Linked DNA regions of Mus musculus: all the other regions are reported to be linked to region 4. The links are microRNA targets in miRTarBase. Many come from high-throughput screens and were not tested one by one. Region 4 holds a microRNA gene; each other region holds the end of a gene's coding sequence.

Region 1 (6,188 bases), not on the chromosome of region 4:
AAGCTTCATCCTCAGTGAGTGCCTGACCTTGGGGCTGTCCTGTCTTCCTTCTTCTCCTTGTATATTTCTCTTCTCGCCCTTCTCTCAGCCACTCCAAAGAGGGTTTAGTGCTTAGTTTCTAGATTAGTGGTGATGACCCTTTTGCTGGCTTGAGAGTTTCTGTGCAGGTGTAGTTAGCTAATTTCAAGGCTGGATCACAACTCTTTTGGTTTTGAGCCAAGATAGCCTTGAATTCATTATGTAGCTGATTCCAAATCATCTGTCTCTTGGGGTGGGACCACGGGAGTTCACTACTACCAGAGATCGTATTTCTCAGTGATCGTATCACTGATGTTTCTGTAATGATGTGATGCCTAGTCGTTTTGATATGTTTTCGTCTCTGTGGTGGGTATTACACAAGAGTGATGGTACCCTTGCAGCCTGATTGCCTGGCACTGGTCAGTTGTGAGCAGCCTGACCTGTTACTGGCGATCAAACTTGGCTCCTGAAAGAACAATAGATGCTCTTAACCGCAGAGCCATCTCTCTAGCCCAAAGTTTCCCTTTAAAGGTTACTTGAATTATTTGGTAGAGGTGTGGGGGGGTAGGGAAGTCGTGGACACGGGTACAGTGCCTACGGAGGGCAGAAGATGGCATTGGGTTTTCTGGAGCTGGAGTTGCAGGGTATTGTGAACATTGTTTGTGTGAACACCATGTAGGGGCTGGCAACTGAATCTTGGTCCCCTGCAAGGAAGGGGTTTTGTACTTCTCGGTGTTGAGCCGGTGTTGAGCCATCTATCCCACCCCTTGCTTTGTTTTTTAAACTAGAGTCTCTTGTATCCCACACTGGCCTTTAACAACATAGCACATCCTTGCTATGTAGCCAAGGGTAACCTTGAGCTTTTGATTCCCCTGCTTCTTGTTTGCTGGGATTACAGACATGGGTGGGCTACGGTGCTCGGTAGATGCTGGGGCGGGAGGGCAGGGCGGGGGGTGAACCCAAGGTCCTCACTTATGCTGCTAGGCAAGTATTATCAACTGAGGTACATCCCCAGACCAACTGATTTGTTTTGAAGAAAATTCACCAGCATCTCAAGACATTTGTGCCAAAACTTGAGGTTTCTACTCTTGCGATTGGCCACTGTGGTGTGGTATAAGGCTTGGGTGTGGTCCTAGCCCCTGCAAGCCTGTCTGTTTGTTAGTTTGTAGGTGCCGTGCTCCACGTCTCATTCCTCATTCCAAGCTTTGCTTGAGGACACCAGCCACTCACATCCCCTTTTTCTATCTTTCCAGCTTTGCCAAAGTCATGCATGAGACGGTGAGAGATCTGGCTCCGAAATGTGACGTGTCCTTCCTGGAATCCGAGGACGGCAGTGGGAAGGGAGCGGCTCTCATCACTGCTGTGGCCTGTCGCATCCGGGAGGCCGGGCAGAGATAGAACCTTGGAGCAGACGGGACTTCCCTGCTTCCTCACTTCCCTGTTTTAAATTATGAGGAGATGGACCTCTTGGCATTTCCTTGGCAGAGAGGACCCCGAGAGACTGGGACTTTTGTCCCGATATTCACTGTAGAGTTTGATACCCAATCCTTGGCCTTCCTGAGAATCAGAAGTAAGGAATTGTTCACAAGTTGTTCCTGCTGGTCACTTCCTGGCATGTTCCCTCCCCTGTTCTACTTCCTGTACAGTCCTATGGGATGGGGACAGTCTTGCGAATATGGTTGCCTCATCTTGGAGCTGAATGCGACATTTATAGGTGGAGAACATCTTGAAATGTTGATACTTCTGTCATCAGATCAGGCATTGGGAGGGAGGGAGGAGGAGGAGGAAGAGGAGGAGGAGGAGGAGCAGTATGGAACGTCCCCTGGCCTACATGGCTGTCCCTCTTCAGCTCAACCTGTAGGCATCACCCTGCTGGTTCTAAACATTTGCTGTCCTGGAATAGAGGAACCCAAACCAAAGCTAGACTCGACACCCCCTTCAAGTGTCTGTGGCTTTACCTCACACGGCTGAACGGGTCATCTATGAGCAGCAGACCTTGGGGCTAGGGGTGGCTTTGGTAGCTTTTCAATTTCTTTTTTTTTTTTTTTTTTAATTTATGTTTGAAATTTATTTAGTTTGAAGCAGGTCCTCTCCTTCATTGTGTAATGGTTAATTATGTAAGTAATGTATTTATATGTTCCTTTGTTCTGTATATAGCTGGCCAGGGTCTCCTCTGACTCGGCCTTGTGAGTAGATAGATCATTGTAGTTCAGGATATGAGGTGGAGACACTGACTGGCTCTAGAAATACCTCATTCACCCGCGGGAAGAAGAGAGACTCGGAATCTCTTGGTGAGTGATGGGCAGAGCGCCACCAGCCTCCGGGCTTCACCTTCCTCTGCTCCGTGAGGTGTATGCGAGGCAGGGATGGAGACAGGGTGGTTCGCTGAGGGAAAGAAGCCACAACACCTGGCTGCTCCGTCCAGAAGCTTTCCTGAGTGAGGTCTCACCCGGGATGTTAGGCAAAGAAAACCAAAGGATTTGTTTCAAGTTCTCACTGCATAGAAGATGTGATTTTTAGGTCAGTCGGCGTTTCAGAATGGTTTGACAAGTTACAGGAAGCCAGCGAAAATGTTTTTAAAGTCACATCAGATCGTTGGAGCAGACCACATGAAGCATCGAGAGAACTCGACCAAACCTCAGGGGCGTCTCGGGGTGTTTGTACATTTATTTGCCCTCCTAGCAGATCCCACCTCCGGTGTGTCTCGTGTTTTACACGAGATGCACGCTGTCTGTCTGCTTCCTTGGACTGAGCTGCATCGAGCTGCCGACTAGCCTTTTTATACGAGTTATTTATTCCAGACTGTTTGAAGAACGGGAAGACACCAATGTCCTGTTCTCTGCTCTACCAACACGGTTCGCTCTGAATTCAAAAGTTCACTTCTCCCTTCAAAATATTAAATTGACCACCAATGTTAAACCTGGATAGGTTTAATAAAGAGGAAACAGCCTTGTAACACTAATAAACAAGATACGGGGGTCAAAAGAGAAAGACCAAGAGAAAGCTCAGCATCGTGGCAGCCATGTTTTGAACATCTTTCAGACTTGTGCTGAGCAGAGCCTAGTTACAACCGAACAAGCTGGTGTACAGTGAAATGAAGGCTGCCCAGGTCCTCCCGGGATGCCCAGAGGGAAGGTCGAGTGATTCCTGCCTGATACTGCCTGTCTGGTGTAGCTCCCTCAACCTGCAGTTACCGAAGCAGACCACTGAAAGCCGAAGCCACCTATAGATGTGTGCAGCACTAGGGGGTAGCCACCTATAGATGTGTGCAGCACTAGAGGGTAGCCACGGAGTACAAATGGATTCTGACTAAATTTTCGAATCTTGAATTTTAAACTTTAAAATCAAGCACCATCTAGGAAAGGACTTTTTTTTAAAAAGGGGTGTGTGTGTATGTGTGTGTGTGTGTGTGTGTGTCTAACTTTTAAGGAAGTTGGCTTTCAATCCAGAGCATGAGACAGTGTGCTGTGTTCCTAGTACTAGGCTGGCTACTGCCAGCACTAGGTTGACAGCTCTCTCTGCTAATGCTGCTTTGTGTGATCTTCAGTGAACCTTTGACTCATCTCATATCCCTGGGCACTCGGTCTAGTGAGCGTTTTGTCATCATGTACAGTAGAGAACTAGTTGAATTAACCATGTGATGTTAACTATTATTAATAAATTTTAACTTTTTTTTTTCAAAATATTCAGTGTGTGATTGGATCTTTTAAGTGGGGCAAGTTAGGACTTCCTGGTCAGTCTGATCAATCACTGATGGGGTCGATACATTTGGAGTGGCCTGTTATCTTTCAGTGTCCGTGGAGACGGATTCTGGAATTCTGAAGCCTGTGGGGGTCGGATCCTGTGATTGCTTTCTATGGCGGAGATAAGCGCCGTGAACGATCAGATGCTGAGAGCAGAAGCTGAGCCTCAAGCAGTAAAGACAGAGTGGTGTGAGTCCTTAAACCCTCTGCAGCTCCCAGTGACACATTCCTCCAACAAAGGCACACCCCCTAAGCCCCTCCAAACAGCAGCACTAACCGGGGACCAAATACTCATGAGATGGGAGAGAGAGAATGGGACTAGTGTTGAGCCTTGAACCCAGGGCCACCTGTTCAGTGGACTTCACCCCTGGTTCTCCCAACACCACTTTCAGATGGGGTCTCATGTAGCCCAGATTGGCCTCAGACTCCTGGACCAGTTTTAGCCTTCCATATGCTGGGGTTACAGGCATGTGCCACCACACCTGACCACACTTGTTTTATACTTTTTTGAGTATAAAACACTGGGTTGCTCAGTGTGTAGACTTGAACCCCTTGTAGCCCAGCATGCTCTGCGCTCTTTGGTCTTGCACTCTTAACCCTCCTGTGAGGATGCATTTATAGACAGTCCTTTTGTGAGACAGGCTCACTATGTACCCCCAGGCTGACCCGCATCTTGCTATGTAGATCAGGCTGGTCATAAACCTGGCAGGCCTCTTTATCCTTCCAAGAACTTGGAGCTACAGGTAGGAGCCACTACAAGCTAAAGAAGTGACAGGAGCAGGACGGTGAGACTAGGTCCAGACGGTCTGCCCTTGTGATCCCAGGGCTGGGGAGGCTGAGGCAGGTGGATCCCTGGAGGTCACTGGTCTGCAAGCCTAGCTTACCCAACAGGTTCCAGGCCATAAGAGACCATGTCTTGAGAAACAAGGTGGACAGCTGAGGAAAAACAGCCAAGCCCATCCTTTCACTTTCTCACATGCACCCGTGAGTGCATGTCTGGGACTTTTCTAGCCTTTACATTTCAGAAAACACTGCCTTAAAAAAGTGATAAGATTGGCAAGATAGTTAAGAGCATAAAGGAACTTGATATGCAAATCTGATTTGATCCCTGGAGCCCACCACAGAAGGGGAGGATTGGTTTCTCACAAGTTGTCCTCTGATCTACACAACACACACATCCACTCACACATGGAGGTCCAGTTTTATCCTACACTGAATCTGAGTCCATGATCAAGCGGGACTGCGTTTCTTGGTGCACACGTGGGTCCTTTGTTTTCCCTTCCAGCCTGGCTTTCTAAAGCTCATTCCACTGACTTAAGTATATGAGGATGGCCTTGAAGTGACTCTCCTGCCTCCAGGCGCTGGAATTCCAGGCATGTGCCACCACCCCCCAGCTTAGAGGCCTCTTTGGCTTTTCTGCCTCAAAGCAGATTCTTACAGATTCCCCACTCTGGGCCTCTTGAGTTTTGCAGCTGGCTTGTTCCTGTCTGTAACATCAGCCATACTGCTCAGCACAGTGTGGGCACCTCTTTCCCCAGGTCACTTTGGCCTCTGGCAGCGGGATGGAAAAGCTACATTCGTTATGTCCCATGGATGGGGCTGGGGCACAGACAGCTCCGCACAGACCCTAACATTGGACTAGCAGGGAATATTTTAGTGCGATTTAGGGTACATTTACCTGCGGTGAGGCCCTCAATGTCCCGGATAGCACGTGTATCTCTTTCCTAGGCTGACTCCCCATCCTCCCAAGGAAAAATTAGTTTCCTCCAAGCAAGCAGACTGCACTCACACTGCTCCCAGCTTGGAAAGCAGTTTCCCAGCCAAACCCCAGGCAGCCTGTCTCCCTGTTTTGTTTTCTTCGGCTGGGCCCCAGGTGCCACAGGCTGGAACACAGGCACTCCGGTGTTGAGAGCATTTTCTAGCCTTTGCACAATCCGCTTTTGCTTTTCTGTTTTCCAATTTCCCTCTGAGCCATGTCTCTTTTGTTCTTCCCTCACCATCGGCAGTCTGAGCACCCTGCTTGACGCCACCTCGTTTCTGTACGAGTCTGGATGAGGCATACATTGTTTCGTGCCGTCTCTGGTTTTCTTTATTTCCTTTTCTAAGGACATGGATGAAATACAGGGGCCTGAAAATGCTGTGTGCTCTAAACTAAATGATAGATCCTTAGCTCTCTGTGATGCTTTAATAAAAACACACAAAACATAGTTGGCTAGAGTCTTGTGTCCTCTCTCAAAGCAGGGTTTGTTTACATATTTCTATCTATCTATCTCTATCTATCTATCTATCTATCTATCTATCTATCTATCTATCGTGTGTGTGTGTGTGTGTGTGTGTGTGTGTACGTACATGGGGAGGCCAGAAGAAAACCTAGAATCAGCTTCCTTCTTCCATCCTGTGGGTCTTGGGATCAAACTCATGTTGTTC
Region 2 (6,188 bases), not on the chromosome of region 4:
AATCCAGCAACATGGGTGTCCTGGCAAGGGATCGTATCCAAAGACCTTCTAGGTCTATGTGATCTGACTGGAATGCAGACAGGCTCTGGATCACAGTGTGATCTGGCTGGAATACAGACACACCGTTAGTACACATCTTTGATCCCTAACAATAAAGGTAAGGTTGGTTTGTAGGAAAGCAGCCATGTTTGAAAATGACATCTAATTGAGAGGCAGACGAAGTGACGAATCAGAGAAAGATCTGACAGAATGAGTCAGGGATAGGATGCACCCAACTCTCATGAGGACAGACAGGAAAGTGAGCTACCTAAAAGCAGGGCAGTTGAGAATGGAGGGCAGTCCAGTTGAGTTTTGTTCACGTCTGTTCAGTTCATGGAGTTTAGAGGCAGGTTTCCCAAGCAGAACAATTCAGCAAGAAGCTGAGAGAAGCCAGTTTGAATCAGCCAGCTTGGAGAGGCATTTTGAGCCAGAACATCTGAGTTGAACCAGCAAACCAGAGCTCAGAAAGAACTAGAAAGGGTGAACTTATTCAACAGTAAGCCTCCTAGATGACAATTACATCTGGTGATTATAAGTTAGTTACACAGTTCCCCAGTATCAGGTACCATTTGTGCTGACTCACTTGCAAGGGGCATTCAGGGGTGGGGGTGGGGAGGAACATTCTTCAGCACAAAGTTAGCACCCAACCTTTCCATCTCTTGATTATATTCCCGGCAGATGTCTGCTCTGGAGGGAGATGGATGTGCTCCAAAGGGTATTGCCCAAATGGTGGCATCCAACTAGCTCTAAAATGTAAGAACTCTTGGGTGCAAAAATACAAGTGCCCAGCAGCAGTCAGACACAGATGAGACTCAGTTCTCAGAGCCTCAGGTGCCATGCTCAGGGGAGCATCAGTAGCCTTCAGAGGAACTGTAGCAGATGCCAAAGCTTTATCCAGTGCTGGGCAGAGAGAGCAGGTTTCCTTTAATTTCTACAGGAGACAGTAAACTAAAGATCTGTGAGAACCAAATTGTTACCAGGCTGTGCTGGCTAGTTTTATGCCAATTTGGCACAGCTAAAAGGCATCTATCTGAGAGGAGGAAACCTCAGTTGAGAACAACGACTCCATGAGATCAGTCTGCAAGGCTGCCTGTAGGGAATTTTCTCTCTTAGTGATTGATGGGAGATGGCCAGGCCATCGTGAGAGGTGCCACTCCTGACACTAGCCCTTCTTTCTATGAGAAAGCAGGGTGAGCAAGCCATGGGGACGAAGCCAGTAAGTAATACCCCTCCATGGCCTTCTCATCAGCTCCTGCCTCCAGGTTCCTGCCCTGTTTGAATTCCTGCCTTGGCTTCCCTCAATGGACTGTGATGTGTGCGATATGTAAGCCAAATATAAACCCTTTTCTCCCTAAGTTGCTTTTGGTCATGTTGTTTCATCATAGCAATGGCCCTAAGAAGCAGAAATACAAAAATGTTAAAGCTGGAAGGGGCTTGCAGGTCATTTAGTCCAAAATAATTGTATAGATATGAGCGCTTAGGTGCAGAGGCAGTTACCTAGCTTGGGGATCTAATAGTGGCCAGGGACAGTTACCACATAGTGTTACATGGTCATGGCTCTGACTCAGCTCCAGGCTGAGGTGAGCATGATTTGTTGTTGAGGTCACTTCACTGGAAAGCCCTTGATTCAGTAACCCCCACCGTTTCTCTTTTATAGATAGCCATAGCAAACATTAGTTTGGGGCTCCAGTGAGCTGTCTTCAGTTACCTGTGAATTATAGTGAATACTATTTGGCTGTGTAGAATAAAGTCCACTTAGCCCATCTTATTACAGAAATACAAATGCCCCCAGTTGCCATTAAGACGTAATAATGGGAATAGGAAGTATAAAAGTGAGGACTGAATGTGAAAATATCATATGACTGACAGGATGTCTTTCCTGGTTAAGAACCTTCCAATTTGATCGGCCATGATGACACATCTCTTTAATCACAACACTCGGGGAGAAGTGGGCAAATAGCTGTGATTTTTAAGGCCGGTCTGGTCTACACAGAGTTTTCCAGGACAGCCAGGAATATAGAGAAAGACCCTGTCTCAGAAATAAGATAAAGTGAACCCTTCAAATAAAAATCAAATATCCTTTTCTTACTCTCAAGACACCTCCTTCAGAGGCCAGATCTGAGATGGGTCACCTGGGTAGCTTAGGGTGGCAGAATTCCAGGAGGCCATTGCCTCTGTCTGTCCTCTGTTTCCTCGATCCTCCACTGATGGGGTGCTGGGGGGAGTCTTGAAGAGTCTCAAGAACCCACTGGATATTCCTTACCAGGAATGAAGTCAAAGCTCCAAAACACACACACACACACACAAACACACACACACACACAAACACACTCCCCCACAAACACCCACACCCACACACCTACACTCACAAACATTTCCCCACACACAGACACACACATGCACACGCTTCTTTCTATTTTTCCTAGCAGCTCCACTCACTTTTCGACATTTCCCCCAAGAGACGATACATGTACATGGGAAACAACGGCAGAGAGAGAGAGGGAGAGAGAGAGAGAGAGAGAGAGAGAGAGAGAGAGAGAGAGAGAGTGTGTGTGTTTTAAATGTACATCAATAGAATGGGCTGTGGCAGATCCATACAGTGGAATATTATACAGTTGTGAAAGAGAAGTTAGTTAGAGCCACATGTCTGCATAAAGCTTAAATTTTTAATGTTGAAAAAAAATGTGTGATGCAATTTAAGAATTGAAGTAAAACTTGGAAACACACAAATACTCACTAGTGCTCAGGGATCAAATGATCATTTAGTAAAAATATAAAGGAAGGCTCAGAATAACAAATCAGAATGTAAGATCCTGGTCTTCTCAGTATAGGGCACAAGAAGAAAATTCAACTGTGGTCGTCAAGGTTTATTGAAGTTGGCAGAGGTTCATGGGTGTTTGATACACGAGATTTTTTTTCTGAATTTTATACATCTAAAATATTAATGTAAAGGAACAAAGAGAAACACTGGGCTGCCAACCCGATTGGAAAACGATTTATTTACCACTGTAAGATTTTGTGCTCCAAAGTGTAACCAGACATGTGACCACGATGTCTCATGCGACTTTTTGTGCTTTTATGTGGAATGGCATCACAAACACGCAGCATCTAACAACAGGAAACAGCAAGGGTAGAAACACTGCACAGGACCAACTTTCTCCTCCAAAGATTCCCACCTCAGTTCAGGCCAGACACTGCCCCTTCCCCCGGGGCCCCTTTACATCTGAGAGCTGCCCGCCTGAACAGCAGTCCCGGACTCCTCTTATCTGATGTTTCCGTTAAGGTGATAAGCTACTCACTCGCCCCCAGAGCCTTCTCTAATCAGAATGGACAGACACATGCACGGTCTTGGTGGACAAACACTCAACAAATAGATGCCTAGTTGTCCTGGGGAGAGGATTCACAGAGGACTGGGGTGAACTCCTAACCTCCCAGCAGTAGCCCAGCCTGGAATGGCCTCTCACTTTATTTCCACCTCTTTCCAGAAATCACTCCCTGGCAAAGACATAGAGAGGTTCCTTCCCAAGCTGATTCGGAGGTGACTTACAGGAATGGCTGGAAACAGATTAAGCCGATGTAAAAGGTGACTGAAAGTTTTTGGTTCCCAGTCTAACATCTCTGAGCAATTTACAGAGGAGGTTTTGGAGAAGAAGCACAGCCAACGGAGGAGCCAGGAAGTGCCACCAACTGACCAGTAACAATTGATGCCCGCTAAGATGCCTCTTGCTTACCTCCTGAAGCTGGACTGGCAAGCTCCCATGACATTGGTGCTGTGCTATAGGTGGCCACACTGAGGCGCTGTGGAGCAAGGAAGTAATGACAACTCGAATTCCGGCTCACAAGTATCTACCCCTGCAGCTAGCTACTTATTTGATTCCTAGTGGGGCATCTATTGGAAATATCAACAGGGGCAATCAAACCTAGCTTTTTGTTATTTCCAAGTTAAAGGACATGTCCCCCAAACTGGAGGGAGGCATGTTATCAAGAGACCACGTTTTCTCTTTAAAGTTCATCTACCTCCTCATTTACATAGCCAGATGGAACAAGCCAAGCTCAGAGCTACTTCGTCCTGAAGTACAGGCATACTGAGAAGAACAGGTCTGTCACATGGAGTCAGCTTGGGGGTGGGGGGGGGTGACATGACAGCTGTCCTCAGAATGCCGCAGACACTCCAGAGGAGTGGCAACCTAGGCCTGCCAGGGAACGGGCACTCTACGTGTGATAAAAAAAAAACAAACACAACCCACTCCAATCCCTTAAATAAAACAGTCAAAACACACAATGTAGCTCGAGAGTGGAATATGAACAGCAGAAATATAAAAAAGAAGAAATAAAGTAAGCAGAGAGTTCCTGCCTTCACACTGTCCTGGTGCTGGGCCCCCGGAGATCAAGAGGAAAGGCTGCCTGGATAGGGGAGAAGGGATCTTATCAAGCGCAGCCCCTCCTGCTCTGCTCCAGAACCCCTGTGCTAGCTAAGGACAGAGGCTTGTGTATTCCACCGGAACATCAGTGTGGCATGACCCCCCAGTGGCCCAGAGACCTGCTGGCCAGCCAGTGATTCTCAACCTTCCTAGTGCTGTGACCCTATAAGAAAGTTTCTTGTGTTTTGGTGATCTCCAACCACAGAATTGTTCTCATTGCTACTTTGTAACTGTAATTTTGCTACTGTTATGAATCATAATGTAAATATTTTTTGGAGATAGAGGGTTGTGATACACAGGTTAAGAACCACTGCTTCAGCTCAATGTGAGCAGGGGCTGCCGACTGAGGGTACCTGGCACATATCTTTTTCCATAACACAGATGAGCATGATACAGTCTTCTGAGTGCCAGTCCCACTCACTGTCCTGGCGCCACCGCTCACTTTTTAGTATTGGGAATACAGTAAGAGAGGAATGAGGTCTTGGCCTCAGCCAACACGTCTGCATCTGTCTTTGGGTATAGGCATGTGGACAGAGCACGAGGGATGACTGACAGCTGAGCCTGGAAGATGACTGTGTCCAAGAAAGACGGTCAGTGGCCGGTGGCAGGTGGCCGACTACAGGTGCAGTTGGTGCCACATGGCGATCTGCCGGCGTGGGTTTTTTAGCATCTCCTCCCAGTGGCTGCGCTCAGAGCCCGAGGCATGCAGGCCTAGGCTGCAGTGGCCCAGCTCGCAGCTCGGCCCCTCCTCGCCCTGGCCCAGCACCTCCAGCTCCACACTGGATGCCCGCAGCAAGTCATCCGGTAGCTCAAACATGATCATCTCGTTCCACACGGGGTTGATCTTGTGCTTGGCCCGTTTTGTCTGTTTCTTCTTCAGCTTCTGAGCCTGGTGTTTCAAGGTCACCTTGACAGACACATCTAGGGAGGGGTACAGAGAAAAGAAAGTTGTAGGGGAGCAAGTGAGCTGCTTCTTCTTGGGGTTTCCTACATCTCCACTGGACCGTGCATTCTCTCAACAGTATTAAGTATCTACCAGACGTCAGGAACCGGTCTAGAGATAGCAAAACAGACAAAGATGCGTGTCTAACCCTTGCATTAGAATGTGGAAGACTGGCCATACAGGATGAATACCTATCTCTGTAAGGTTTGGAACCATAAACATTTCAGATTTGGTGTGTTTTACAGACTAGGGGATATTTGCATATATTATGCAAATTGGAATTGGGTCTCAAGTGTAAGCATAACATTCATTTAATATTCATTTTTGCCTTGAACCTCGGACTTTACATATACTAAGCAAGCATTCTAGCCCTGAGCCAAATCTCCAGTCTTCTTTTCTCTTTTTCTTTGGTGACAGGGTTATACCAAGTCACTACAGTTGGTCACAAACTTCCTCTGCAGCCCAGGCAACCCTGGTCTTGAGTTCTTCCTGCCTTCACAGAAGCTGGGATTCCAGGCCTGCACCCCTATGCTTTCGTGTGCCTCTTACACACCCAGCCTAAAGATACTTTTATACAACATAAAACCAAGTGTTCATGGAGTAGAGTTCTCCACTAGTGGTCAGGAGATTCCAGAAGTTGGCATTTATTAGATTTTCACGTTAGAGATTACATTAGCCTGTCACAGAACATATGAGGTCAGTGGGTGGCTCAGACCTGAGCATGTCAGATGGCCTCTGGGGAACCACTTTGACCATAGCCCTTTCTAAGTGACTTGACAAACCAA
Region 3 (6,188 bases), not on the chromosome of region 4:
TGAATCTCTGTGAGTTTGAGGCCAGCTCGGCCTACAAGAGACAGCCAGAGCTACATAGTGAGACTCTGTCTCAAATGAATAAATAAAATAAAAATAAACCATAAACCTGAAAAAGAGTCATAAACCTGGGAATATTTCTAATGAAAGTAGTGTAAGACTCTTACACGAAAATTGTAAAATGTTGCCAATGTAAATGGAAAAGAAGACGAACAAGAGGGAAGACTAAGCCATGGTCATGAACTCAGAGACAAAATACCGCTACGCCCTCCCAGCTCTTCTCTAAGATCCATGGAATTGAAATCAAATTTCCAACAGGACTGTAAAGGGCTTTCGCCCTCAAGTGCAAGTCGACAGTAACTATACCGTGATATCTCACAGGATAATGCCTTCATCTGCTGAGCTGTCTCACCAGCTCTTAATCTATTTATTTTAATTTTATTTAATGAATTTACTCATTTTATTTATATCTCACAGTGTGTACACTGTGGAGTTATTGTAGGTATACGGTGTGCTGGTGTAAAGGTGATGGGATGGAGAAGGCAGTCCACAAGAGCATCACCAGGACAGCCAATGACTGAAGAGGATGGCGCTCCAGCAAGCAGTTATTGGGCAAGCAGTTCCTGTGAAGCAGTTCCAGTTAGACAGTTCGTTGTTGTTGTTATTTGTTTGTTTTTAAATCAAGTGTGTAAAAGAAAACCCAGAAATTCTTCATGTTATATGTATTTCTGTTCAGGCATGCACTCTAGTGTAGAGGCCAGAGATGAGGTAGAGTGTCTTCCTTTTATTTCTTCTCTACTAGGGATTGAACCCAGGGCCTCAAACTGTGCACTGAGTTCCTTCCTCGGCCCTCTTTGCATTTTACTATTATGATTATGTTTTAAGATGGGGTCTTATGCACCCAACACTGACCTCCGATTCATTACATAGCCAAGGGTGAGTTTACATTCCTGATCCCCCTGCCTCAGCTTCCAGAGGGCTGGGATAACAGGTGTGTACCACCACATTTTATGGGCTACTAGAGTTATAACACAGGGTATCATGCATGCTAAGCTGGAACTCTACCAACTGAGCTACGTACCCAGCCCTTTCGCCTACCATAAAAGCCATTTGGCCGTGTCTATATTGAATCGGTTAAAGCCACTGCTTGGTCTCTCTACTCTAAGGTGTAGGGCCCACAGTAAGAAGTGTGGAGGTCTAAAAAGACAGATACAAGCGTAGTTCCACCAAACTCTTCAAGATTTCTTTTTATTTAGTTATGTGTCTGTGTGAGTATATGCATACACTGGTTGCACAGACCTGTGCAGACAGAGGCCAAAAGATGTTGGATCCCTCAGAGCTGGAGATACAAATATTTGTGGCATTCCCAGTTTGTTCCATGGGTGCTGGGACCCAAATTCCATCCCTCACGACTGCACGGAAACCACTCCACTGAGCCATCCCACCAACACCAAATGTATACCTAGCCCAAAATTGGAAGCCAGGGAGGTCAATCACAACAGAAGAAAACATAAACAAATTGTAGTGCAAGACCAAACATGTTCCCTCTTAACAGAGCCTAGCCAGACCACTGTACATATATTGGTGTATGGAGTCTATTCCTGCTGGAGGGCATCACTGTGATTAATTAGCATTGCCAAGGGAACTCCTTAATATTGCATAAAATAAAGTTTGTTTTGGTTCCCCCTTTAAAAAAAAAAAAAAAAAGATAGGTTTTCCGTGGCCTCAGCAACCCAAAACGTGCTGCATACGGTTTGCATGTTTAATTAGCGATCCTTCTGTGTCTGCAGTTAGCACCATGACAATTAATAAAGTAACTCCTTTAAAGCTCCATTTAGCTAGCGGAGGTGCACGGCCAGGTATAATGAACTCATCATGAATAAGTCATGGCTGCTTAACTATCTATTTGTTGCTAACACTTTACCCAACAGCTCCCACCTGAGCACAGCTAATGTCTCCAAGCCAGGCCCCGCTGGAAGCTGACAGTAAACCAACTCCTAGGAAGTATGCTTTTAAGCAGCAGGTATATGGTGCAGTCAGGGATCTTCTGAGCTTAGATGTCATCAGAGGTGACTGTCCTGGGAGCCGTGTAAATGGCTGATACATCTGGAAGGCCCAGGGCAAGGTGGGTCTCAAACTAACCCCTCACCTAGAGATCTTGTTAAAAGTCAAAGTATCAGCCCCAGACCGCAGCGCTCCAGACACAGGTGATCTGGAACAGTGATTTTGCTTTTCTAGCAAGTTCCCACATGGTGCTGATGCTGATGGAGGGATCGCTCTCCAGGAGCCCCCTCCCCTTTCTCTTGTGCTAGGGATGACTTACGATTTCTGGGATTCCCGAGTCCTTTCTATAGATTCTAACCGGTTTGGTGTAGTTTTTGGCATTTGAAACTGGGTCTCCGGAAGCTCGTGCTGACTTCAAATTCACTGGCTGCATAGCTGCAACAGGCCTTAAAATTCTGATCCTCCCGCCTCTGCCCGACTAGTGCTGGGATTAGGGGTGTGCACCCCTGTGCCTGACAGAATGGCAGTGAGTTTCCACAGTCCTCGGTCTCACTTACCACCTTGTTTGAGGCTGAGCCTCTCTAGGTGTTTGCCACTGTACCTTCTATGCCAAACTAGTTGGCCTGGGAGTTTCGAGGTAGGTGGGGAGGGGTGGTGAATGGGGACGGAAGGATAGGGGTCAGTGAGAGGTGGATTCTTTCATCTTGACAAATGAATGTGGGGACTCCAGCCACTTGTCATTGTGTGGATTACAGGTATCCAAAGCGGCAAGGGCTTTACTTGCTGGACCACCCCCAGCCCACACAAAGGCATCCTTTCTTCTGTTCATTTTCTGAGATTCTCCTAAGTTTTAGTGTAGATTGTTGTCTATACGCAGATGAGGGCAAGTAAAATATAAGGCTAGATTCTGTGATTGGACAGTGGAAAAAGAAGGTGGGCTGAGAGTTTTGCAGAGAAACAGAGAGACAGACAGAGACAAGGAGACAAGATGGAACCTATAGGAGAGGTAGATGAGCTAGATCCACGTGGCTTGAAATGGCCACAGGTAGCTATGGATAGCACAGAAGAGCCGTAGAGTAAGATAAGGCAATTGGTCCAATCAAGGTGGGCAGCTTGTATCAATAACTCGCGTTTTGAGTTCTTTGAGTGGGCATTTTGGGGGTTGAGAATTTACTGTTATAAATCTGACTGATCAATTACAAGCACGAATAAAGAGTTTTCTTTATTCGTGGCTGGGGGGGGGGGGGTTAGAGACTAGCCACAAGGGACAGATGATTGGGAATTTGAGCAGTTCAGCAGCAAGCGAGCCGAGCGAGCCTCGGGGAAGTTGGGGATAGCCATGGGGGAGGGGAGACCACCGTGGCTGGAGAGTAGCCGGAGACAGAGTAGATTGTTTTTTAATAATTACAACAGATGACATCCAACATATAAAGTGAAAAAAAAAAGAAAATTATTTTTATTACATTTATTTGTTTGGGGTATGCATGTATAGGTGTGGATGTGTGCATGCTATAGCACCTATGTGTACGTAGGTCAGAGGACAGCATGTAGGAGTTGGATCTCTGCTTCTACCATATGGGTCCCAGGATTCGAACTCAGGGTGTCAGCCTTGGCAGCAAGCGTTTCAGCCACTCAGCAAGCCCCCAACTCTTTTTTTTTTAGCTCATTGAAATTACTCTACGTTGTCCCCCAGCATGAACTGTTTCATTTTGCTGACCTCACAGCCCATACGGTCCTACGTACCCCAGCCCTGCAGCACAGCCTCCAACAGTTTTCAGTCTACTCATCTTTCCTAGTATTTTTTTTTTTAAAGATTTATTTATTTATTATATGTAAGTACACTGTAGCTGTCTTCAGACACTCCAGAAGAGGGAGTCAGATCATGTTACAGATGGTTGTGAGCCACCATGTGGTTGCTGGGATTTGAACTTCGGACCTTCGGAAGAGCAGTCGGGTGCTCTTACCCACTGAGCCATCTCACCAGCCCCCTCATCTTTCCTAGTATTATTACATCAGGAGATGGACTTTTGCATGTTGCTCAGGACCATACCCTGAGCCAAGCAACTTCCATCTTCAGGAGTTCAGCTGTGCGCACTTGCCAAAGATCATGCCAGCTGGGTCTGGCGACTGTTTACATCTCCTCATAGAGGGATGGGGAGATCACGGGGCCTCCTCTGAGAACCCAGCCACTCACTACCTCCTATGTATGCAACATTGCCCTAATTGCACATGGCCTCAAAGAGGCTGGAGGACACAGGCCAGCAGAGATTAGGGGAGCTGGGCTCCATCTGTGCCACTATAGGAAGGTCACCATTGATGCTATGTAAAAGCCCTTCTGGTGCCACATTTTAGGGGATGGAACCCACACCGCTGTAAGGAAACCTTCACCTCTGCTCTGTAAAGAAGTCTGATAACTCATTGGTGCCCTAGGGGAGCTTTGGTGGTGGTGTGCCTTGGTTGGTCTTTGGAACCTTAGGGGGCGGAGAGAAAATGTTTTTTGGCAACACAACATTCTACACACCTATTTATTCTTCTAAAGGGCTGTGAAATGCCCTAAGGTACCCATACCTCAATTGAAATGGCATTCTCTGGCTCCTTATCAGTGCACCTCTCACTTTGATTGGCAGTCATGATCAAAAGAAGGGGCAGCATCCCTATCTGCTGTGGGGACTGAAGATGCACACACAGGCAGAGTTCAGAGCCCACCATCGGGAAAGGATTCTGGAGACACTACCGCACCTCCATCAGGTGTCTTCCCTTTTGGGTTCACACGACGACTGAACCAAGCTCTGTGCATCTGCTGTTGAGTTGGGTTGGGTCGGGTTCTGGGCTCTAGAGAAGACACTTGTGGAACAGTGGCCCCAAGCCCAGCAGGAGCATCTCTAGGCGGTCAGCGTGCCCTCCAAGACAATAACAGCTCCGCCCTTTATGTCAACGCGCCCATCAGGTCGCAGGGAAATGTCCAGCTCCCCTCCTCGGCGGGAACACTGAAAGGCTGAGGAGAACACAACCTGGTGCCAATCAAGAGCATTTCCCCTGGGATTTACCACCCAGGGCAGGGTTGACTATAACAAACCCAAGACGCCTCCCAGGCCACTTTCCAGGATAAATGCCCCCCTCCCTGTGTCCGCGGCCCCTCCCACCTCCACCCCATTCTCCTGCAGCCCCAGAGTTCCACACACAGTGGCACACACACTGCCGGACCTTCCTTCCTGGGCCTCTGAGAAGGTCCCACCTTCAGCTCTGATATGAATAGAGTGAGTTTGTTTCTTCATTGCATATTAAAGCAGTTGTATGTGCCAGGTCACAAAAGAGGCACAGCCCTAGTCTTCCAGGGGCTCAGAAAGTCATTATACTCACCCAAAGGAGAGAAAAGGGGTTGTCCTTCTCAAAAGTTACATAGTAAGCTAATTATACTCATCAAGCACTTATTAAGCACTTATTTGTGTTTGGGGAGGCAGGGGTGAAGAGGGCTGGGAGTGGGAGATCATTGAAGGGGAGATGTTACAGGGAAATTTCACATGAGTCATAATATCTTAGTATTTTTTTGTTTTGGTTTTCTTTTTTTTTTTTTTTCCAGAGCCGAGGACCAAGTGGTAGGCAAGCACTCTACCGCTGAGCTAAATCCCCAACCCCTGGTTTGCTTTTTTCAAGACAGGGTTTCACTGTGTAGCTCTGGTTGTCCTGGACCACACTCTGTAGATCAAGCTGGCCAAGAGTTCAGAGATCCGCCTGCCTCTGAGTGCTGGAATTAAAGATGTGAGCTACTACCAACCACCTCTTACTACATTTTTAAGAAGCTAATGCATATGAGAATAGATACAAGCCTAAAATGAGGCAAAGAAGAGATTTGAGCTGGGCATAATATTGCATAATCCCAGCCCTCAGGAGGTATTTGAACTGGGTATAGTAGTGCACAATCCCAGCCCTCAGGAGGTATTTGAGCTGGGTATAGTATTGCACAATCCCAGCCCTCAGGAGGTATTTGAGCTGGGTATAGTATTGCACAATCCCAGCCCTCAGGAGGTATTTGAGCTGGGTATAGTATTGTACAATCCCAGCCCTCAGGAGGTATATGCAAATTTGAGGTCAACCTGGTCCACATAGCAAGATCTTGTTCCCAAAAGTTAAGGGATGAGGCTATGGCTCTATGGTCGAACATTTGCAAAGCCTTGAATTTAACACCC
Region 4 (6,188 bases):
CTTCACCCATATTGCACTTCTGTACTTTTTATTAGGCCTCCATGACTTCTCATTGCAAACGCTGTGATTAACCCTTACCTGGTTTGTTTTCTCCAAACTTTATCTACCCTAGTCAATTAAAACACAGAATCCCATGTAACCACTAGCATTCTTTTCTCCCAGTTGCTAGGCTAAGTGTATGGAGAGATGATGTTAGTTTTCAGCAGTACATATGCATCTTACTTTAAAAGGAGGGAAGAAGGGGTTGTTTTTCAAGAATATTTGGAGGCAATTTCAGGAGCTCATACTGGCTTAAGGAAATACTGTACCTCTGAACTTGAATGTTCAAGCAGGTCTGACACCTGAGTTCTCCCATGCCCATGGCAGACTTGTATTCTTCATTTCTTTCTGTGAACACTTAGAACTGCTAAGTGCTTTCTTTTGTTTTTTACCCCAGAGCCTCATCTGATCTTTCTCACAGATGTTGGGGACTCAGGGATTCCCCGTAGGTTTGAGTGTCTTCTCCCTCATTACTGGCCTTGGACTCTTCCCATAGCTGTGTTTCCATCACTCACATGGACTTGGCCATGTGGCAGCTTTGCGGATGGGCTCTTCAGCCATCTTCCACAAACCCAGGCCAAGAGGTGACATTCAATCTATCCTCAGTGTGTACCTCCATCCTGCCAAAGTTGTAAAACTGTCTGGGATTATAGTCCCTACCAGTTATGTGCACGAGGAGGCATTGATCAATTCCCTCATGATCTCATGGCACAGCAGGTAGAGCTCATGTGGTTTGCAACAGGAAAGCCAGACTGTAGCAACTAGCCTAGTGCTTGCTTCAGGCTCAGAGCTCCTGAAACTCTCAAGTCATAAGGCTTGGGAAGTTCACTAGGTATTTTGGAACCCATCCCAAACACAATTAAATATGCAGGCAAAGGGGGAAAGAATACTTAGAATACAAATGGTCTAGCTTAATGAGGGTTATGGGGTGACCTGTCCAACTGGTGTTCCCATCCCAGTCACTACAGCTCTGCCATCTTCTCAGTGAGTCTGCTGGAGTCAGGCTTGTCTGTGTCTAGGGGCAGCTCTAGTGGGCTTGCCCAGTATCCCAGGCATGTGCAACACTTCCACCTAACTCAAACCACATGCAGAAGATCATGTCGTACTTGGCGCATAACCAATTGAGAAAGGCATCAGAGGGTGTCCAGACTTTAGCTTGTTTGAACAAATGTTCAAAAAAACATTTCTGAAGGGATATTCCAGAAAAACATACCCGCTCAAGGTCTTAAAACAGATGTTAGGGCTCTAGGAATGGGTTGCTTTGCAGCTACTATTATCAAATACAATAAGGCAGGACCAAATCACTTTAAGGTTTGAACGAGGGTGTATGTTTAACTTTCTTTTACATCTTTATTGTCCGCCATGGGAGGATGTGTCAGAGGGCAGAACATAATACCAAGAGGCAACATGCTATTGTGATTCACTCTCTGGCACAAAAGTAAGGCAGGCAAAGGCTTTGACCCCTGACTGGCTTTGTGTGTTAACCTATCATAGTCTCACTTTGTTAAACTACAAAACTAATAGCAACAGGGCTAACTCTATTGTTTTGTCAAGAGAACTAAAAACTGCATTTAAAGAGAGTGTATACCATGTATTGAGCACTCAGCAAGTATAGCACCACTATCAACTCTATCACCAGCAGAGCTTTAATGTTTATTATTACTACTACTTTTATACTATTAGCACTGCTGCCACTGCTGCCACTAAGACAGGAAACAGGATCTATTGCCAAGTTAGATGATGAGCTGGAGAGGGCCTCAGCTTTGTTTTTCTAGCTTATAGAGAAGGTAAGCATGCTGAGAAAGAAGATCACAGGATTATAATTCTGGATTGAAAGGAAAAGAATGAGAACAGTACAGAGTTCTTGTAGTTTATTTTCCTCATCTCAGACCAAAGCTCTACTATCCTTCATTAGTTTGCTGTATAACCTAGTTGAAATCACTTTAGATAATGGATCACTGGATCCTCTTGAAAGTAAAACCCCGTGGCACTTGTTTGCTGGCAAGTTGACCTGTATAAGAGGATAGTCTGTGACTGGAATGTGTATGAGCAACTGGTCCAAAACAGGCAAGGCAATAACTTCTAATTCTTATCAGCGAACCAGCTCACAATCCAGGTGTATGCTATAACCACCACCAGAATCATTTTTAGCTACTGACCAACAGTGATATCCTGGGCTCACTCCTAGAAGGGAAACTTTCTATATAACCATCAACTTTGTCGTGGTATCTATTTTATTATGTTGGAGATATGACCCCAGGAACTTGTATATGCTAGGCAAGTACTCTATTACAGAACAATATCCCAAGATATATCTGTAATAACTCTTTAGTGAACTTTATCCATCTATCCATACATCCATCATCACCTCCCCTACAACCATCCATTTACCATTCAACAGATATTGTTAAGCAATGACAACATCCAAAACATGGCTATAGGTGCTAGGAATAAGGCAGTGAACTGCTGTCATGAAGCTTACAGTCTAGCTGCCTCATCTGGACAAACACAGTGTATCATGAAAGTTCACTGGAAAAGTTTAGTCTAGATTTTTGAAACAAATGTTAGCCAGTACTTTTCAAAAACTGGACATGACTTTAGGGTGCTTGGGTGGAGAATGAAAGACTGTCTCGCATCCAGCCTAAGTAAAGGTTCTCGGGGTGGCCTGGGACAGGGCTTTAGGAACAATGTGGCTGGATTTTTGATTTCTTTGATGAACCTGGTTGAATCAAATTGTGTAGTTACTATGCTGTATAGCTAAGTTTTAAAATGTGATAAGAAAACAATGTGATTTTGTTACTGTCTCACTCATAAACTGGCTCGGAAGGCAGTTAGTTCTCAAAGCAGCATTTTAAAACTATTCTGAACAATGGCAACATCAGAACACATTTTCAGGGGGACTGCTTCAGACAGTTCAGTACATATCTTGAGTGTACAGATCCTAATCTATTTAAAAATAAAAATAGCTAGTAGGCAATTTGTTCAAAAATAGTGCAAAGAAAGAAATGTAGACTTACATATTTTAATTCATTTTTGAAATATTTATGCATTATATGTTTGGATTTGTGATTGCTGTAAAATTAATTCACTTTAAAAATAATGAAAGGAATTTTCCTTGGCATTTTTCTTCAGTCAGTTGATGCATTGTCTTCTGCATGTGACTCTTCAACGTGAACAGCCCAGCTACTTAGCCATTGTCTAAGTTTTATGTAAAAGTCAATCTTCCCATTACATGGCAGGCCTGCAGAAATGCTGCCTTCTGCTTTGAAGCCAGTGTATGATCAAATTTAAGTTAACTGGTTATTTCTCTTGCAGCGGAATGTTAAATCAGGAATTGTAAACAATTCCTAGGCAATGTGTATAATGTTGGTAAGTCATTCCTAGAAATTGTTCACAATGCCTGTAACATATATTCAGCTAGCAAGATTCCTGAAATACATAGGAAGCCTTCAAGAAGCTAACTGTACATTCCTAGAACATCTCTGGATCATGACATTTGTTTTTGTAATCAATTCTACTTATTTATTTGTTAATGTGTCTAGGTGTTAATAATTCTGATAATAGCACTACTACTTGATTTCCATAGTTCCCAAGGGTATCTGCATTATTTGATAGTACTTTGGTGATGCAGGGTTTTAGACATGCTAATTTTAAGAGGCATTAGAAATAAAAAAATCAATAATTAGGAGCAAAGGCAATTGTACTTCTTAGGTGAGCCAAAGCCCTAAACTTTCTTACTCCTTTACAAAAGCTTTAACTAAAGCTTCATTGCCTTTCTCCAACCTCACTTCCAAACAAATTTTGATATTCTAATTCCATAAGTCATGGGAAAGAAACAATAATATCTATCAACCTTACTGTCATGATTTTTTACCTTACCCTGTTCACTTATATGTTAATATGTTGATGTTTGCATAGTCATTATTTAATATGTATACTTGATTACTATTTATAGTTATCTATTTTCATTTACTATTTTGAAATGATCTGCCTACTGGTTTATATCAGCATAGCTGTGGGTTGTATCTTTTCTTAAATCAATTTAGAAATGAAAACAAAATGTTGAATGAGTTTTGAATGAGTTTTGGCCTTGAGTGTTATGATCATATCAAGCCACTGGTTGGGTTTCTTTGCATGTAGACAGTTAAGTGGATTCCCTTGACTTCTATTTGACTAGTGGAAATGGACCATCCTGGCAGCCCACTCAGATGAAGCCAAGAAATGAGCTGGCTATGCGGGCTTTGGATCAAGAAATATCAAAAGTATGGACAAAGTCTTTTGACAATTGATTTCAGCATCTGTACTGGTATACATTGGCTGATATAGTAATATACAGCTGAGCAATATTTTAAATGGTCCTCAGTTTGGTTAGATGATGACACTCAACCCCAGTCTCATCCCTACTGTATTCAGACATGACCCATTTCCCAAGGCCCAACGCATTTCTGTCTGTCAAAGTCCATCTAGTTGTTTTGGTCCTCTCTGGTGTATCTTCTTTTAATGCTTCTATTCACTTAAGTCCATTTTGCCTTTCAAACTGAATTGCAATGATCTATGTACTGTGTAATTTTCAAGAATGCCTTACACTTATGGTGACCATATTTTCTAACCAAAAATTAGAATATATCTTCTGAAAATTTAGGTAGGCTATTTGAAATTAGCTGTCCTTGGGAAAACATATGCTTATTCACTTCAGTGTCTCCTACCCATTGAACAGTCAGCATTGGGTATGACAATAGGAAGATAAAGACTGTAGATAACATTCACTAAGTTGCAAGTAAAAGGAATGGATGTTTTTGGAGTGTCTTGTATAGGCAGGCATAGCTTAAGTGCTTTGTTACTGTGCCTTAGGAATAACATATTGGTCCAGAAAATAAAAATAATAGAAGAAATGAAGAGGGACAACAAAAATACCCATAGTGGGAGACATAGTGGAAGGATTGTATCATACAATGCAGCAGGTAAGGGAAGTCTAAAAAGAGGAGGCCTTGTCAGAAAGACAAATACAGAAGTTCTTTGCTATATTTCTTAAAGGTATGATTAGACAGATTTTTCAACATCTCTGTGTACTGCTGATCTTTTTACCTTTACTCCTCAGATTCTGCCAATGCTTGGATTACAGGAGATGCTCCACCCCCACAAGTACAAGTGTGGGTTTAACAGCTTCGAGTAGAATATAAACACTGGCTCACTACTGAACATTATGTTATTGTTCAGGCAACCCAACTTTACATTTTGAAGGTTTTGTGTTTCATCTTGAACTCAGAATGAAAGACCTGGACCTTCATCTTCACAGTCCTTGATGTTTCATAGGGAATCTCTCCAGTCATGCTGCTATACTCTTTGAACCATACATGAGGTTTGATATGTAGAACAAGCATTTTGGAATTAAGCAAAAATATTTGAGGCAGAAATTTAGCTTCCAAAGACAAAGCTGTTTCTTGGGCTGTCTGACATGCAAAAAAGTGATGGAACATTCTTTTATATCTTTAGGCATTTTTTTTCTACTTGCCACACCTCTGTCCCTAATTTGAACCTTCAAATATACCTTGCTTATGTCATATTGACAGGGACTGCAATCTTCTGCCTGCAGTTTCCCTATACCTCTTTGCCATGAGCTGTAGATTTCTTTCCTTCTGAGCCTGTTCAAAACCATGGAACAATATACTGTCATTCCTTTTCTCCCTGAAAATGAAAAGGTAGCACTGCCAGATGATGCCAAAAAGATGGGAATGTTAACTTTGGGATGTGGGTAGATTACTTACAGGATCAGTAAGGATAAGCATGTTAAAGTAAATACTCCAAGGCTTTTTACCAGAGGCTCATCCCTTCTGATGTGTCATTAGAAGGATGAGTCACGAGAAATTACTGTAGCATGATTGAGTATTACTGAATTCCTAATCAAAGTCCAGCTGGGAAGACCAGCTGAAGGGAACTGGCCCATGCTAGCATCCAAGAAAGCTGTGGATTTGGCAGGGTGAAGAACTTCTTGGCTATGGAGGAATGAATCAGGGTTAACAAAATGTTATGCATGGTTTTACCAAAAGGCTAGCACTGTATATATGGCAGGCCTGTTGTCTTCTAGTGCTCTCTGACTGGTAGGTAAGACAAAGCAAGATCAACACCTGAAGCTTTTGAGATGCATGGCT

The links. Region 4 holds the annotated microRNA mmu-miR-384-3p (AUUCCUAGAAAUUGUUCACAAU, at 3,416-3,437, shown strand). A microRNA usually pairs through its seed, bases 2 to 8, with sites in the 3' UTR of a target mRNA and lowers its output. Matches are read on the target gene's strand: a 7mer-m8 pairs with bases 2 to 8, a 7mer-A1 pairs with bases 2 to 7 and ends in A, and an 8mer does both.
Region 1: miRTarBase lists Hk2 as a target of mmu-miR-384-3p. Seed matches in the 3' UTR shown: 8mer at 3,374-3,381.
Region 2: the mRNA of Syt13 is a reported target of mmu-miR-384-3p. Seed matches in the 3' UTR shown: 7mer-m8 at 4,607-4,613 and 7mer-m8 at 3,914-3,920.
Region 3: miRTarBase lists Pbld1 as a target of mmu-miR-384-3p. Seed matches in the 3' UTR shown: 8mer at 3,996-4,003 and 8mer at 3,790-3,797.

What each region holds. Positions count from the first base shown.
Region 1 is chr6:82,722,538-82,728,725 of GRCm38, reverse strand. Hk2 (hexokinase 2) reads left to right here. Exons shown (of 18, transcript NM_013820.3): 17 at 1-14; 18 at 1,272-3,701. The coding sequence ends at 1,416. Among named protein-coding and RNA genes, the nearest start is that of Gm32480, 10 kb to the right of the region's middle.
Region 2 is chr2:92,952,556-92,958,743 of GRCm38, reverse strand. It overlaps Syt13 (synaptotagmin XIII), which reads right to left. Exons shown (of 6, transcript NM_030725.4): 6 at 2,693-5,381. The coding sequence ends at 5,077. Among named protein-coding and RNA genes, the nearest start is that of Gm13791, 36 kb to the right of the region's middle.
Region 3 is chr10:63,075,157-63,081,344 of GRCm38, reverse strand. It overlaps Pbld1 (phenazine biosynthesis-like protein domain containing 1), which reads right to left. Exons shown (of 9, transcript NM_026701.3): 9 at 3,385-4,996. The coding sequence ends at 4,884. Among named protein-coding and RNA genes, the nearest start is that of Pbld1, 17 kb to the right of the region's middle.
Region 4 is chrX:105,341,541-105,347,728 of GRCm38, reverse strand. Mir384 (microRNA 384) reads left to right here and starts at 3,360; the gene lies at 3,360-3,447.